Linked DNA regions of Rhinolophus ferrumequinum. The protein of the gene in region 2 interacts with the protein of the main gene of each other region in a pairwise test. Links are inferred from orthologs where the notes say so. Each region holds a gene or a part of one and is shown on either strand. Other genes may lie near its edges.

Evidence for each region. The genes of interacting proteins can lie anywhere in the genome.
Region 1: the proteins of LZTS2 (region 2) and PRKAB2 interact in binary tests that used the Homo sapiens proteins (3 or more experiments, as listed by UniProt). The link is inferred for Rhinolophus ferrumequinum from reciprocal best matches to the Homo sapiens genes LZTS2 and PRKAB2.

Annotation. Positions count from the first base shown.
Region 1 is NC_046305.1:49,426,682-49,434,621, forward strand, and holds the start of PRKAB2 (5'-AMP-activated protein kinase subunit beta-2), read right to left. Parts: upstream 3,001-7,940; 5' UTR 2,665-3,000; intron 2,333-2,664; exon of another isoform or gene 2,203-2,332; intron 1,961-2,202; 5' UTR 1,936-1,960; coding exon 1,780-1,935; intron 1-1,779. UniProt on the Homo sapiens protein: Non-catalytic subunit of AMP-activated protein kinase (AMPK), an energy sensor protein kinase that plays a key role in regulating cellular energy metabolism.
Region 2 is NC_046299.1:23,693,846-23,701,236, reverse strand, and holds the start of LZTS2 (leucine zipper putative tumor suppressor 2), read left to right. Parts: upstream 1-4,387; 5' UTR 4,388-4,540; intron 4,541-7,230; exon of another isoform or gene 7,231-7,351; intron 7,352-7,391. Other genes in the region: TWNK (twinkle mtDNA helicase), read left to right, coding at 872-1,192. UniProt on the Homo sapiens protein: Negative regulator of katanin-mediated microtubule severing and release from the centrosome. Required for central spindle formation and the completion of cytokinesis.

The DNA.
Region 1 (7,940 bases), on a different chromosome or scaffold from region 2:
GTTTTCCTGGTTTGAAACATGGAAAATGTTTCCTTTTATCCATAAAGTGTTTAAGCAAATTTCAGGTGATTTTAATGTGCAAATTGGACTGGGAACAGAAGAAGGTGGCCCCACTGCCAGTTACTTTTATGATTTAGGATTTCCGGTTTAGAATTTGAAAGCTACAAACTATTAATATGCCTAGTTTGGAAGAAAGCCCTTCCACATGTGACATTTCTGTGGTCGGCATGCGGGCAGATGACTAGCAGAAAGGCTGTTTATGTCAAGTTAAATAGTCAGCAAAATCATTCGGAAAAGAGAAAATTCGAACTACAGTTTGAGATGTTTAAGTGAAACATTGATATTGAAGTAAAGACAGTAGGAAGGTTGAGAACTGTAAAATTTTAGATTTGGAAGAGACCTTAGGAACAATCAGAAATAGTTTTCTGATTTCACAAATGGCAAGACTGAGGTAAGGCAAAGAATCATCCCAAATAGGTTCCATTTCCAATAAAGCAATCTGGCTTGTATTCAGTACACCACTTACTGCAGTCACAGTTTGACAAATACACTGTCCTTAAATCCTGAGTCATCAGTGTAGGAAAAGGGGGAAAATGCAGTGAGGGAGGTCACCTTGAGAAAGCCCTGAAGAAGTACTGGGTGGGTGGACAGCCCTCATGATGAGGAAGACGTCCTGAAGTGGGAGGAGAAAGGAAGGGAGAAGAAACCCCAAGAAATGGTCCTTTTGATCACTCTCACTTCTGATTATGTTCTCAGTCGAGATCCAAGAAAATAAACAACCAAATTCCATGAGCTGCCAACGTGGCAAATCATGCTCCATTTACTTCGTGGGAAGGCATAGGGGACATCAAACATACTCGTCTCCTCAATCTCTCCGTTTTTCTAATTCATCCCAGTCAGCCTTAACGTACTTAATGCTGTAGCTCTAAAAGTGATAAGAAAAGCATTTGGGTGGTAATCACAGTGCTGTCAGCTCAGTTTGCCCTTTCTACAGAGTGCCCACAAGTTGCCACTCCGCTCAGAGTCCTTGGACGCCAGCACAAGGTCTTTGGGGCAGCGTGGGTTGTCCCGCTTTCAGCCCTGGTGACATACTGAGGTACTACTGGCTACTGGAGAAATCCTGGAATGATTTGTTCTGCCACTTGAGCAGCTGGGCACGAAAGAAGCACAACCTCAGCACCACAGCTATAAAGTATGGGACAAAAACTGAGCAGCGATGTCCTTTATGGATGTACAAGACTAGGAGGAAGTATTCAAATAAGCAAGTGATTGTTCCTCACAGTCAAGACCAAGGTGAAGACGGTCAGAAGTGCTGAGCTCCTACAAGGGCAAAAATGATACTGACACAGAGAGAAAAAAGAACCTCATTTACCCACCTCAGGGCAAATGTGAGAAACCACCAGCTATGGGCGGCAACTCAGGAAACCTCTAAAGTTTTCCGGCAGCGCTGACACTACAAATTCATCAGTACGGTAGAAGAGGGCACCGTGCCTGTCAGGAGAACCAAAGATTGGGAGGCGAGGTGGGGGGCTGGCATCCTGCTATCCTCTTAAAAATGTGTCCAACAGATTAATCGGCAAACAAGAACCCCGCTTCCGCCCTATTTTGAGGCAGTACCGCGAGAGGAATTACCATCCAACATCTCCGTCCCCCCCAAATCCCTTTAATTCAAAAAGTCATCACCCAGATCAGCGTGGTAAGAATTAAGAAAGTGAGGAGGCGCCCTGACGCCCCGCCCACTGCAGCATCGCCACCCACGGGGGGCGAAGGGACGCCCACCTTGGAGTCCTGCAGACTGAAGACGCTGGGGTCGTCCGTGCTGCCCACCATGATCTTGTGCTCCTTGCCCGGGCCATGGCCGCCGGTGCCCTCAGCGCGTGCTGCCTTGGCGCCGTGGCGCTCCCCGGCCACCCGGTCGCTGGTGGTGTTTCCCATGGCTGCAGCTCGTGTCGGGGGCCACCTGCCGTGGGGAAAAGCACCGTGCGAGGAACACCCCTGCGGCCACGTCAGGGGCGCGCGCAGCCCCACCCCTGCGCCTGGGGACACGGGCAACGGAATCCCCGCCGCAGGGAAGCCGTGCCCGTGGGTGCCCTCCCTCCCCGGCCTCCAGGAGCGCCCCGAACCCCCTCCCTGCCCGCTGCTCAGGAAACCCGCTTTCGGGAACTCCCCTGCATCCCAGCGCTCACGCCCCCACCCCATCACCTCCTGAGACGCGCTCCCTCCTCCCCGGGCCACAGGCGCGATGGATGCTCTGCGGCTAAGGCCACCAATAAAGTTATTGAAATTGAAGCCACGCGCGGAGCTAGGGAGCCGGGTTTCCTCCTAAAATGGCTACAAGGCCGGCTGTGCGGTCCCGCCCCGCGCGCCTTCCCTGCGGCCCCGCCGCGCAGCTGCCCGGCCCGCCGGCCTCTCTAGCCGCCGCCGCCTCCATGGTAGGCGGTCGTGGGCGGCCTTCCGTGCTCGGCGGGGGCTCCCGCCCGTCCGCTGGGGACTGGCTGCACCCGGACAGCCCGCCCGGCGACACTGCACCGGGCAACGTCAGTGCGCGGAGCTCCCGGGCCTGCCGCGCGGATCACACGGTTCCCGAATGACATTGGGGACCGCCAGCCAGGCACCGGTGCTCTGTACCCCGAGGAGCGGGGTTTTCTTCTCGGGCCCCCTCACCTGGGCTCAGCTTCGCCAAAACATTTTCTGGACAGCGTCTTTGTGGCAGTCGCCCCGGAGAGGTGGTGTCCGGGGGGGATAGGAAAACGGACTTTCCACTGACGCAGAAGGATTGGTCCAGGCTAAAATTAAGTGGTGTAGGGAGCTGTCAGCCGCGACTGGGGCCCCAGGGAAGATGGAGTGGTTACGAAATAAACCTTGATAAATTAGTAAAATGTTACTCTGAAGAGGAGAAAGCTATTCTAAGAAATGGCATATCAATTAACGAACCCGGAAGAAATGAAATTCAAGAAAGAGTGCAGGAACAAAAACATCAGAAGGAACTCTGAGGGCAGAAAAGGGGGAAGACAGACCTGGGTTTGGGACAAATCCCAGCTTTTACTGATGATTAATGGAACTTTACCAGTTAGTGGCATTTACCAATTCTTACTTTGTGTTACGATTCTATGTCTCATTCCCTCCACGAAATCCTTGGCACTCAACGTGTGTTTCAGGGACTGGCAGCACAGGCATCACCTGGGAACTTGTTAGAAGTGCAAAACCTGGCCCCATCCTACAGAATAAGAATCTGCACTTTACAAGGTCCTCAGAGGAAGGTGTGTGCCTGGTAAAGTGTAAGAAGCACTGCGTTGACACTGGCAGAGAGGACTCCATTTGATTCCTCTTCGTATTCTGTATGCACCTTGGACAGAGTGAACTTTAATACACATTTGCGGACTGAAGGGTACGTGAATACTGATTATTATATTTCTCACAAGAATGCCACTTAGGCTTAAACACAGCCGGTGATGGCGAACTCCATCAAAGCCACCCTTCCGGAATGAGCCACTCTATTTATTGAAAAGTTCATTATTATATTAAGTTGAAAACCCACCCACTTAAGTCCAACAAATCCACTCCTTCCCCTTTGATCTATGCTCAGCCCCAAATAAACTGTTGTTTTCTGGCTCTTAACCAAAGACAGTTTGCAGACTAAAAACAGAATCTTGACTGTCTGGTTACTTCCTTTTGGTGAACTCCCTGCCCTCCCCAATTCCTGTCATTCTTTCCATAGGACTCTGAATCAAGGCCTTTGAAGGAATAACACATTAAACCTTAACTAATGTACTATTCAGCTTTCTAACTCCAGGTTGGTCTCTCCGGGCCAAATAATATGTCTCTGGTACATATTTCCTTACAGTAGTCAAATCACCAGGGGAGAAGCATACACAATATATATTAGCCAATGGAAAACTTGTTAGGAAGAGAAACTATTTTTGTAAAACTAAATAGAAATGATTTTTGGATTATCTGATTTGGGGGTGGGAAACAAAAAACTTTCATGGCCAATAGCTTTTCTGAAAGAAACCGTTTATTGAACCAGATGCCAGCCAGAAAAGGACAGGGTCCTGGTGCGCGCTGTCTGCACCAGCAGCGGCAGGGCTACGCACTTCTGGCATTGACGGATCCTTCATATCTCGGGTTTAGAAAACAAAGACGAAAGTTGTTTTGAAAGAATTGGCACTGGCTATGGATAAAGGGCGTGTGGAAAAAGTGAAGAGGGCCTAGTTCTGGGATAGGTGCATAGTCTGTAAGGAAGAAGCGTTTGTTCTTGAGGACCGGTTGTGGGCAACAGTCTGGAAAGGTCATGCATAGCAAGGTAATGGAGGCACTGGTGGTCACTTGTGCTGGTGGCGGGCTACTGGCTCTTCTCTTTAGATAATTGTGCAATAGCTACCTGGAAGTTAACTCAGAGTTGTAACATTCATTCAGGAATGCGAGCAAGTCTTACGATGATTTTCCCCGCAGTTGTTAACTGATTAACCTCTCTTGTCTCTTTCTTCTACCCTCGGGCCTGCTATAATTTAATTTAGGACTTCTCAGAGTGTTCATTTTCTAGTCAGGGGATTGTCGATGACATTCTTGGACTCTAATAGCACTTGGAAGTCAGTCCACAGTAAACTCTGCGTGTTGCATGTTTAGACATAGGACACAAGTAACTTGATTCTGTAGGAAGGATTGATTGCTTCTCCTTACTACCTACCGAGTTTTTGGGTTTTTTCCTTAAACATAGGAGTGTCTAGGCAAAGAAGCAAGATCTCTTAACCAATGGCATATAATGGTTTCCTTTGCTGTGCAGAACCTTTTTAGTTTGATGTAGTCCCACTTGTTTATTTTTGCTTTTGTTGGCCTTTGTTTTTGGTGTCAAATCCAAAAAATCATCACCAAGACTGATGTCAAGGAATTTATCCCCAATGTTTTCTTCTAGGAGTTTTATGCTTTCAGGTCTTAGATTCGTCTTTAATCCATTTTGAATGAAAAGCTGGGATTTCATTGTAGGGAAAAGAGAAAAGAGGATTAATGCGTTGGAAAGAGAAATAAAAGTAGATTTCTGGGCAATGTGAAGCTAAGAGTTGTCCTGGAGGCATCTCTCGATCCAGCTCCCCAAAGAAAACCGGGGCAACGACAGTGGAACTGCTAAAAATAGGTTATAATTATGGCAAAAAAAACCACAGCGAGCATGAACCAGGCCATCGTTAATGCTGAAATCATGGAACCACTGCTCTTAACTTGTCTGGTCATCATAGGCTTCCTGATACGCTCGTCTATGGTGAGGATGGCTTTTCGGGCTCCATCCCACTTTCCCGGGCCCTGTAGACGATACTGGATTGGAGTGTAGGGTCCCAATAATAACTGTAATGCCAGCTTGGGGTCGGTGAAGGCCAGAGACAGCAGGTTGGGTCTGACGCCCACCAGATCAGCAAGTTCCACCGTGGTATCTATAAAGTCTGTCTGAATGGTGTGGCGTTGGCTCTCCAAATACCTGAAGCAGACAAGACAGGAGCCGTGGCTGTCAACAGTCAGTCAGTCAATCAATCAATCAATCAATCTAGCAGTGCTTTCTGAGTACCTGTTATTGGATCAATATTAGACTAGGAGCCTATGGAAAATAGAGAAGAAAATAAGACTTTGTCCTTTATGACTTTGTAATCTATCGGAGGAAATAGGATAGATACAAATGAAACAGAAGAATATATGACTTTTGGCAAATCATGTGGTTTCAGACTGTTAAATAGAAATGTAGAAGAGGGTAGTTAAAAGAGAGCTTGAAGGATGTGGAAGATATAGATAAACTGAGAACAAAGAGGAATATGTCACAAGTCAGGGGACCATCAGAGTGAAGGAATAAAATAGGAATGAGTGTAAAAATTGCGTATAGAATATCTGTAGGCACCACCTACAGTAGCAGAGGCGTGCTGTGGAAAACAAGGATATATACAGAGACGCAAGGACAGCAGATCCATATCCAGAGGACTTGGATATTATCAGAACGAGAGAACCCACCACAAAATTCTGAAGTTTGGGACCCTCAATTGTTTTATGAGGGCAGTGGTGGTGGGGTCCACAGTGCAGGACTTCCCAATGTTAATTCAGAATCTGGAAAGGAGGGGGTGAGAATGACTTACCCCCCTCCCAATGGAGCCAAATGGAATGACTGATGACACTAAGTATAGATCTGAAGAGCTAACAGGGCTTTTTAGAGGGGAAGAGTGGTAATAGCAATACTTGTGTGGAAGGAGTGGGATTCGGAAAGCTACCTGATAACCTCCTCGTTTTCCTTTCTATTCTGAAAATGAAAGAAAGAACAGCGGGACAGAAAGGTAGTAAGAGGAAAGCCAGGTCAAGTTAATTGAGATTAGAAGGGCTTCCTCGGATTAGGAGAATCCAAAACAGACAGGAAAAGGTGAGCGACTGTAAATTTGAGGTAGAACAGGTGAAATGGAACTGAAAGAAGGTCAAAGAGGAATTTATTGAAATGGAACTACAGTTTAGAAGAAAGAAGATAGGACAGAATTTGAGAGCTCCCCCTTGTGGATGTGATGCCGGCCCAAAGGTTGGTAGGCATGCAGTTACCCTATGGTACTGGGTGAAACGCTGTCCCCGTCATGAAGGTGTCACAAAGATTCAATAAACTCACACGTATAAAACGTTATGTGTAAGTACATAATTAACCCTTCATAAAGGCTCAATGATATCCTTAGGGACAGCTCAGTCTGAAGGTGGCTAGACAAACGTCTGAAGAGAGGGAAAGTTGAAATAGGGTATTTCATTGCCAGGAAAGCAAAGAAAGAAAGCATTCCAGAAGAGAGTGGTTGCAGGAGCAAGGACGGAAGTTACAGTGCAGGGAGCTTAGGAGGGAGAAAAGGCTGAGACTTTAGAGCATATCAGGTAGAATATGGATGCAGAAGTTCGGCAGTGGAAGGAAGGAAAAACTAGGAGAGCACCTGGCAAGGATATCAGGGTGGAATAAAAACGCTCTCCTCCTCCGAGGCAGGGGACAGTTGCGCCAGTACAATCAATTGAAGAAAACCACCTCTCTGAACCTGCAATGATCCTGCCTCTGACTTGCCCACAAAGGTTTAGGCACCTGCCATTAGCTCCCACTTTGTCTAAAGAAAAGTCACCCAGTGAAGTTCAGATGCTAAATGACTGTGTCACCCAAGCACTAAGCACTCGGCGACGTACCACCTTCCCTGATCATGCAGGCTGTTCATACCATGAGGCACTGTGACCTGAGCATGCTGTCCCCTGGCGACAGCCTGCCCAGTGGCCTCTGCAGATTTGTAAATCTACTTGCGGTTTGGAATTCGACCATGTCTGCGCGCAGTAGTTCATTGCCGCTCTTCCTTCTTGTGGCAGCTCTACTAGCACTTGAAGCAATCCTTGCAAAAACAATATACCTGATTTTCTCCCCATGTGCGTTTTCCTACAGGACTTTTCTTTCAGGCCCTAAACATAGGATTTTAAACACTTTTCTTCAGCTTGTCTCTTCTTTCTCACCTATAACAAACCTCTCGGTGCTATTTCTCCATTCTCTTGTCACAAACTATTATTTCCTTTTTCTTCAGAATATAACCTAAATCCTGAAAACTAACATGAGAAAGATAAATACAGTACACTATTGCTTTTATTAAGAACTAAGTGAGTAGAGAAAGTAAGCACCTACTTTCCTGGGAGAATTTCTTACCTTTTGTCAATTTTCTCTTGAGCCTCAGTTATATCTCTTAACATTTCACTTTGTGAGGGTAATGTTTTCAGCCCTAAAGAGAAAAACCAAATATTTAAGTGTGAGGTTACTTCCACAGGAACTAGAATCCTATTAACAAGTACTATGTTCTGGAGAATTCAAATAATTCCTTAAAAGTCAGTAAGTGTGAACTGCAGGCTGTTGATGAACAAGGAAGAGCTGAAGTTCAGAGATTTCCCAAGGGTTCTAGCAAGGTGGGAAAGGTGAG
Region 2 (7,391 bases):
CAGGTGACCAGAGGTAGCCCTCCGTCAGGTTTCAATCATCTTGACTATCCCTCTGGATGAGGCAGCTGGGGCCATGACACGAGGAATACAAAGTCTGATAATAGCTGGTCCTTTGCCCTCCTCACCCTCCAGGAGCTCACATCCTCTGGTGGGGAGACAGTGGGAGAGTGATTACAACTCAGTGTGATAAAAGTTATGATAGGCAGCACAGGTATTTGGGGAGCAAAGAGAAAAGACATCTGAGTCAGCCTGGGACATCTGGGGAGGCTTCCTAGAGGAGGTGTCAGCAAAGGTTGGGTTTAGTCTTGGCTGACAGTAGGTGTGAAATAATCAAATAAATGGGATGCCTTCTGAGCAGCAGGACCAGCCCGATCCTAGAGCTCCCCATGGTACACTGAATGCCTATTACATGCCAGGCCTGGGCTGGGCACAGGGAATACAGGGCGAGGAGCACAAACTATGTGCCACAATGGAACAAACATGGAGCTGGGGAAGAGAATAACACAGAAGTGGAAAGATGGTGGTACCTTCTTTATTTATGGGGATCAAGAATGGTCTCTCTAGTGAAGTATGACATTTAAACCAAGACCTCAATGATAAGACGCTGGCGTTGAGTAGGGTGGTGAGTTGTGGAGAAGTGTTACAAGCAGAGGGAACAGCAGATACAAAATCTGGGACAGCAGCAAGGTCGTTATGGAACTGAAAAACTCACGTGGCCTCAAGCATCGTGGTCAGTAGTTCAAAGAGCTTTGATGAAGGGGGGGAAGTACTTTCCTCATTCTTGCCACTTCTCCCTGCACCCTCAACCTTTCTTTCTGCTTCTCTCATATGTCTTCTCACTGCTCCTTTGTCCTCTGCCCCCATCCCTCAGGCAAGCCAGGAAGCAGACAATGTTCTGATCCTGCAGGACAGGAAGCTGGTAACTGGACCAGGCAAACGGTATCTACAGGTGGCCAAGAACCGCTTTGATGGAGACGTAGGTGTCTTCCCGCTTGAGTTCAACAAGAGCTCTCTAACCTTCTCCATACCACCAAAGAGCAAGGCCCGGCTCAAGAAGATCAAGGATGACAATGGGCTAGTGGTTAAAAAGCCCTCTTCTAGCAAAAAGGGTGCTGTGTCCCAGAACTCTGAGACTTACTCGAGCAAGGCCCCCAACCCCTACCAGCCAGACCCCTCTAAGCCTTCAAGGTGAAGGCAGTACAGAGCTGGACACTGAAATAAGCCTGACAGGACAGGCTGGGGCATAGACTCTTTATTGGCCCTCTGCTAGGGCTGCCTCTGTCCTGTGGTCCTGAGCTACGGGCTCTTCTCAGTCTGAGGGACCTAGCCTAGGGCAGGGTCCCATAGTGAGAGAATTCAATTTAGCAAATATTTGAGAACCTACTGTGTGCCAGGTTTTGTTCTAGGTCCTAGGAATATAGCACTGACAAGACAGATGAGGTCCCTGCTTCCATGGAACTTAAAATTTGGTGTGGGGACAAGTAAGCTAATGAACAAATAAATACAAAACACACTTTTAGATAATGAAAAATGCTATTCAAAAAATAAAATAGTCATGGGATAGTACTTACAGGCTAGTTTAGATTAAGGTCTGAAAAGTTGTCTCTGAGCAGAGGACATTTGAGCCCGGGCCTAAAGAACTAGTATTGAGCCACGTGAACATCTGGAGAAAGAGGGATCTAGGCGGAAGGAAAGGTAAATACAGAGGCCCTGAGGTGGGAATGAGCAAGTTGAGTTCAGAGTAGTGGGGTCAGGCCCCCTGAACCTGGAGGAGAATAGGGGACTTCTGGCCAAAATTCCAGCATAGGCTTTCCGAGCCGAAGGGCGACATGGTAGGTACCAAACTCCTCCGCTCCAGTCGAGCCTGCTGTGTGGTGGCACTCACTACCATTGGATCCTAGGTGCTTAGCCCTGTAATATTAGGGCCCCAAAGGTGGAAGCTTGGCCAGAGAGCCATGGAAAGAAGCTGTGAACCTAGCGTGCCTGCCACCTGGACACATTGTATGGTATGCTGCCTCAGACCGCTGCAGTGGATGCAGTCATAATTTTTTGTAGAGCCTTTTGAAGTTTTACTAAAATAAATTTTCCATTGCTTTTGTTTCTGTGCTGTTTCTTATTTGTCCACCAGGTGTCTCCCCAGTCTATAACGATTTTCCTCTGAATTGGGATAGGTCCCCTCCCCCACCCCAGTCTTTGAGCTCCGCTCCCAAGGAAGCAAGAGCATTAAAGGGCCTTTACATGCACACACCCTTGACACCTCTTCTTGGCCAGGGGAAGACATGATGGTGTCTCTTTATCCCTGTTTTCCTTGAGGATCTCCATGTGATCTCTGGCAGAGATGTGAGTCACCTGGCCACTTACCTAAGCTCAGCCTGACAAGCTGTCCCTCTGTGATAATAAGCCACGAACTGACCTCTTGCAATGTGGACTCAGGCTTAGCATATTCTTACCTGGCCCCCGTCCACTTCCCTCCTCCTGTACCCTCAGTGTTTCTCTTATGTTAGTGTGTGTCAGAACTCCTAGGACTCTTGTTTTAAAAAGAAGAACATAGGCCCAATTTGCCCCAATCCTCACAGATTTCGAATTCTGGAGGTTCAAGGAGAGACATAGGATTCCTCGTTTTCAACAAGTCCTGAGGGAGATGAGAAAATAAGTTACACAGAGACCCTGTCGGAAATATTCCTAGATGATGAGACTTTCATCTCACTTCCTCTAATATCCTAAAATCCCAGTTTCCCTTTAGATTTGCCTGCAAGAGTGGTAAGAATGCAAGAGGGGCCTAGGGAGAAGCCTTTTGTAAGGGTGGCGGTTGGTTCCCTGCTCCTTGGAAGCAAGGCTGCCTTATCAAGATCTCCCCGTCAACCCAAGAGGGGTTTCTAGGACCCTGCAGAAGGGTCTGGGGTCGCTGTCTTTTATGTGTGAGAACCTTGACTACAATTGGCTCCTGAAACAGACCTGGAGCTAAGCTGTTTGGGGGGAGAACCTGGGGGAAGGGAGGGGAAAGCTCCTGGAGGGCCTCCCTTCTTGGGGGTCTCTCCCAGACTGGCTGGAGCCAGGCCTCCTAATCCCCGCAATAATCATTCCCAGCCGCTGGCTGGTCTAAGCCTCATCCAGGGTCTGTAACATTGAACGTCAGCCATGCCTTCCAGATGCACACCACTAGGTCAGTCCTAACCTATAAAGACGTGGGTTCCACATTCTCGTCTTCCTAGAATGTTTTGTGTGTTCTCAGGAAATCCTTTAGGGGTTTCCATTAAGGGAACTTTGTGAGGTGTCTGTGAATTGGGGATAGAGGGATAGATACACACTTGCCTGTTTGTCTTGCCCCATCCTCCTAGCAGACACCCCACACAATATAAACCAGAATGATGGGGGGAGGGGAAGTTAATGCTCCCCCTGCCCTACGCCCTATACAAATACATTCCACTCCACACCTGTCTTTATTCACATCAAGATGAGCCCAAAATGTGTTCAGGAGTACCTGGAACCTAGAAAGCAATGAGGGATCCCTGAGTCCTGTGTAAGGGCCCTGGGAGCCACTGACCCTGGACATTGCCAAAGTGGATTGAGGCAAAGTACTCTGCTTACGTCCAACTGCATGTTAAGAATCTCCCTGAGAGCTCAGGAAGGGCCTGGCCAAGCAGGGGCCAGCTGGATCTCAGATTCAGCTGTGAGGGCTGCTTTGGTCCTCCAGTAGCTTCTTTACTGCGGTTGGGTTTGAGAAGGAACTAAATTCACTGGACTTATGCTGCCCAAGTACTCCGGCTGTAAATACGGCCCAGATACCTGTAGACATCATATGCTGCCTTGCGTTTCTTGGAGGGAGGGAGCTCTAGGTGCCTCCCTGCAATGCAGGCCTACTTCCTGTTTGTGCCTGTGGGTGGAACTTTATGAGTCTAAGGGAAGCCAGGCCATGCTCTGTGGGGGGCCAGAACTGGTAGGTCTGCTCACCTGGCAGACACTACTTCAGGGGAGAGTGAGGTGTGGGGGCACGCGGAGCCGGGGTGGGAGGGAGGAGGGGACAGAGGGGCGGGTCTGTTTTGGTGAAACCCGAGCCTTCTTTGTCTGCTTCCCAGGGGTTTTCCCGGCGTCTGGGGAGTGGGCTGAGAGTGGACCAGGTTTGGCTCCCTCCAGAGCAGGGGAGGTGGCAGAAAAAGTCTTATAGCCAGCTTGGTTAGGGCAGCCAGGTGGGTAGCTTAGCTGTCGGTCACGTGCCGCTCGCCCCTTCCCCAGGTCGAAAGCCAGATCCTGTAAGCTGTGAAGTCAGAGACCAGAGGGCAGCCTCGGGTCACCGTGGAGCTACTGCGGGGTTTGGTACCGGCTTGGCCGTTGAGTGGGTGCTGAGCAGACCACTCCTTTCCCTCGGTTGGGGGCGCGGCCTCAGCGGCCCCGCCCCTCTCCACCAGGCCGGGCCTGGCGGGCGCTGCGAGTCCGGAGCCCGAAGCGGGCTTGGGAGCCGGCGGATCTGCATCGAGGAGGTGCCCGCACTGGAGCAGGAGGAGCCAGGCAGGAGCTGAAGCAGCGGCGCAGGTGGTGCTGGGTGAGTAGTGGGGGCGCAAAGGTGTAGGAACTCCCGCCTCCCGCACAACTCCGCTCCGGATTAAACTTTGCGGTCTGGCGAAACTGGGGGTTAGGATGGGAGTGGGGGGGGGTCCCTGAACAGGGGACCGACGCGGAAATTCACACCGACGGGCCCACACACGCGTGCACACACACCCACTCACGCACTTGGGACACACAAACACACGTGCACCCAGGAAAGGACGCGCCCAGTGAGTTACTCTTGTAGCCCGTGGAGCAGCGCCACTGGCTGGCGCAGACCCCCAGCGGGCACGGCGCTTGACAGGGGCGGGAGAAAAGTGCAGACAGGGGCGAGGCGGGCGAGACACCGCGGGCTGTTCCTGCTTCCCCGCCGCCGGCAGGTGAGGACTAATATGCAAACAGGCGCCGAGCCCCGGATCGCTTCGCAGACGGGTGGGTTGTGCTTCCCCCACCCCGGCCTCAGGGCGAAGACCTCCCTTGCTAGTCCAGGGCGAGTTTGCGAGGTCCCACAGGGGGCTGTATTCCATTCTCCGCTTCGAGAGGTGATAAGCCCTCCCCCAGAAATGGGAGCACAACGCCCCCTGGAATGGGGTAGCACCGGCGTACCGGAGACTGTTGGACTGGGGTGGGGTTACCTGGTGTCCTCGCCCTTCTCCTGAACACATTCGTGGTTCCCCATCCCTGAAGGTATCAGAGGGGGGCGCTATTCTTGATAGCAGTGGACGGCAGCTCCTACCCCATTCCTCCGGCCTGGGGAGCAGCAACCGTAGCTACATGAGCGCCTGTCGTTCTCCTTGCTAATACCACCCCTCCTTGCAGAACTAGGAGCTCCTCCCCCCCCAAGGTAGGAGCAGAAAACGCACTCATGCAAGAGTGGGAGTCCTCCACCCCAAGAGAATTCAGGACCTCCTTTTCAGTACCAGACTGGGCCTATGCCCCTCCGGTAGAAAGGAGGACGAACCCCATCCCCTCATCCCACCTCACTAGTAAGGGAGTGGGCAGCGGCCCTCGGCCTCCCTCCCCTCCCCACCCCCCACTTCTGCGCGCGCGCGCGCGCGCGCACACGCGCGCGCACACACACACACACACACACACACACACACACACACACACACGTTGAGCCCAGCTGCTGCCCGAGCTTCTGGGCAGTTTGCCAGAAAGGGGAGGAGGCTCCTAGTGCCCCAGGAGGCTGGGATCAGGGCAAGGCCAGAAGAGGGGTCTCTCTCTACCGGAGAGAGGGGCTCCGTCTGTTGTTGTGAGGCTGAGGGTTTGAAACGGGGTGAGCCTGAGGGTGGCTGGGCTATGTTTCCCTTTCCAGGGAGAAAGAAAGAAAAACAACCCTTTCCATAGAGCTAAAAATAGAGCTGAGAGCCGGCCAGGGCTGTGGCCTGGAAGGGGGGGATGCTCCTTCCCTGGGCAGAGGAGCTCTGGCAGGCCTGGGCGGGGGTTAGGGGGCGGGTGGCTGTCCTTGCCCAGGGGTGCTCCATCAGCCGACCTGACCAGTTCACATAAACCCCCACGGAAAGTCTGTATGGTAGAATGTTTGAGCAATATGTGTATGTGTAAAAAGTTGTGTGTGAATAAGACTGTCAATGTGTGAAACATGCTTAGACTAAGTGTGTTTATTAATATTGTGACTGCGTGTGAAGGACTGTGAGTTGTGAAAGTATGCACAACTAGGCGTGTGACACCGAGTGTGTTGTGTCTCTCTCTGTAAGTTGTTGGCTTGAAAGATGGAAAGAAGGAACATGGAACCACGTGATGGATGAGACTGATTGTGGCTGTGTGAAACTGAATGTGGGAAAGGTCGTGTGGGTGTTAAGGTTGTGTTTGCCAGAGGGTGAGAATATTCGTGTCCCTGAGAAGACAGTGGAATGTTGTCTGCTGTGAGGCTGCAGTAGGTTTGGATTGTAGATTTGGACAGGCTCACCCCAGTGATTGTTGAGGGGCCAGGGCCTTCATCTCTGAGCAATATCCTCTTTTATCAAATGACACTGAGGGAAGGTCGGGGAGCACAGGGCCGCGCCTGCTGCAGCCCTGGGCTCCAGGAGGAGGGGGATACAGCGCTGGGGAGTCAGGTAGGACTCCCCGCTCGAGGTCGGGATTTGGGGGGTAACTGGGCGTGTTCTCCGAATCCGCCGCCAGGTGGCGCCGCCTCCGCAAATCCAAGTGTGCGGCCTCCAAGACGCTGGGGGTGGGGCAAGCACGGACCGAGCCTTGGCCCCTGACGTGTGCTGGGGGGGAGCGGGCTCTGGGCCCGGGCCGCGGGCTAGAGTGAATGGCAGCTGGCCTTCGGCCTCCCACTCTGGACTCCGAAGCCGGAGAGTGTCTGTGAGGGAGGCTTCAACTAGAAGAACGGAGGGGGTAGGGCGGCCGCCACGGCGCCAGGCCCTTTGTGCTCCAACAATGACCAGCCGCCACTGGCCCCGGGGCCCCGGTTGGAGTAGAGGGTGACCTGCTGCCGCCACCGAGTCCTGAGCCGACCGAACTCCGCAGACACACAGCCACCGGCCTGGGAGGGAGGGATCCTGAGTCCGGCTGTGCAGCGCCAGCGTGCGCCCCGCGGGACACGCGTGACGCGGGGTGCTTGCGCGTGCCCGCGCCCCGGGGGCGGGGACGCCCCTGGGACCCCTCCCCCGCGCTGCACCGCCCACTTGGGCCGGGCGGGGTCTGCCCCGCGAGGGGCGCCGCGGAGGCGGGGCCGGGTCCGGCCGGGCCGCTCCGAGTGGCCGCGCGGGCTGGAGCCGGGCGGCTCGCCGGTGGAGCGCGGGGGGCGGCCCGGGGCTGAGCATGGAGCAGCGCGGTGGAGGTGAGGGGGGCCGGGGCGGGGAGGCGACCTGGGGGTGTCC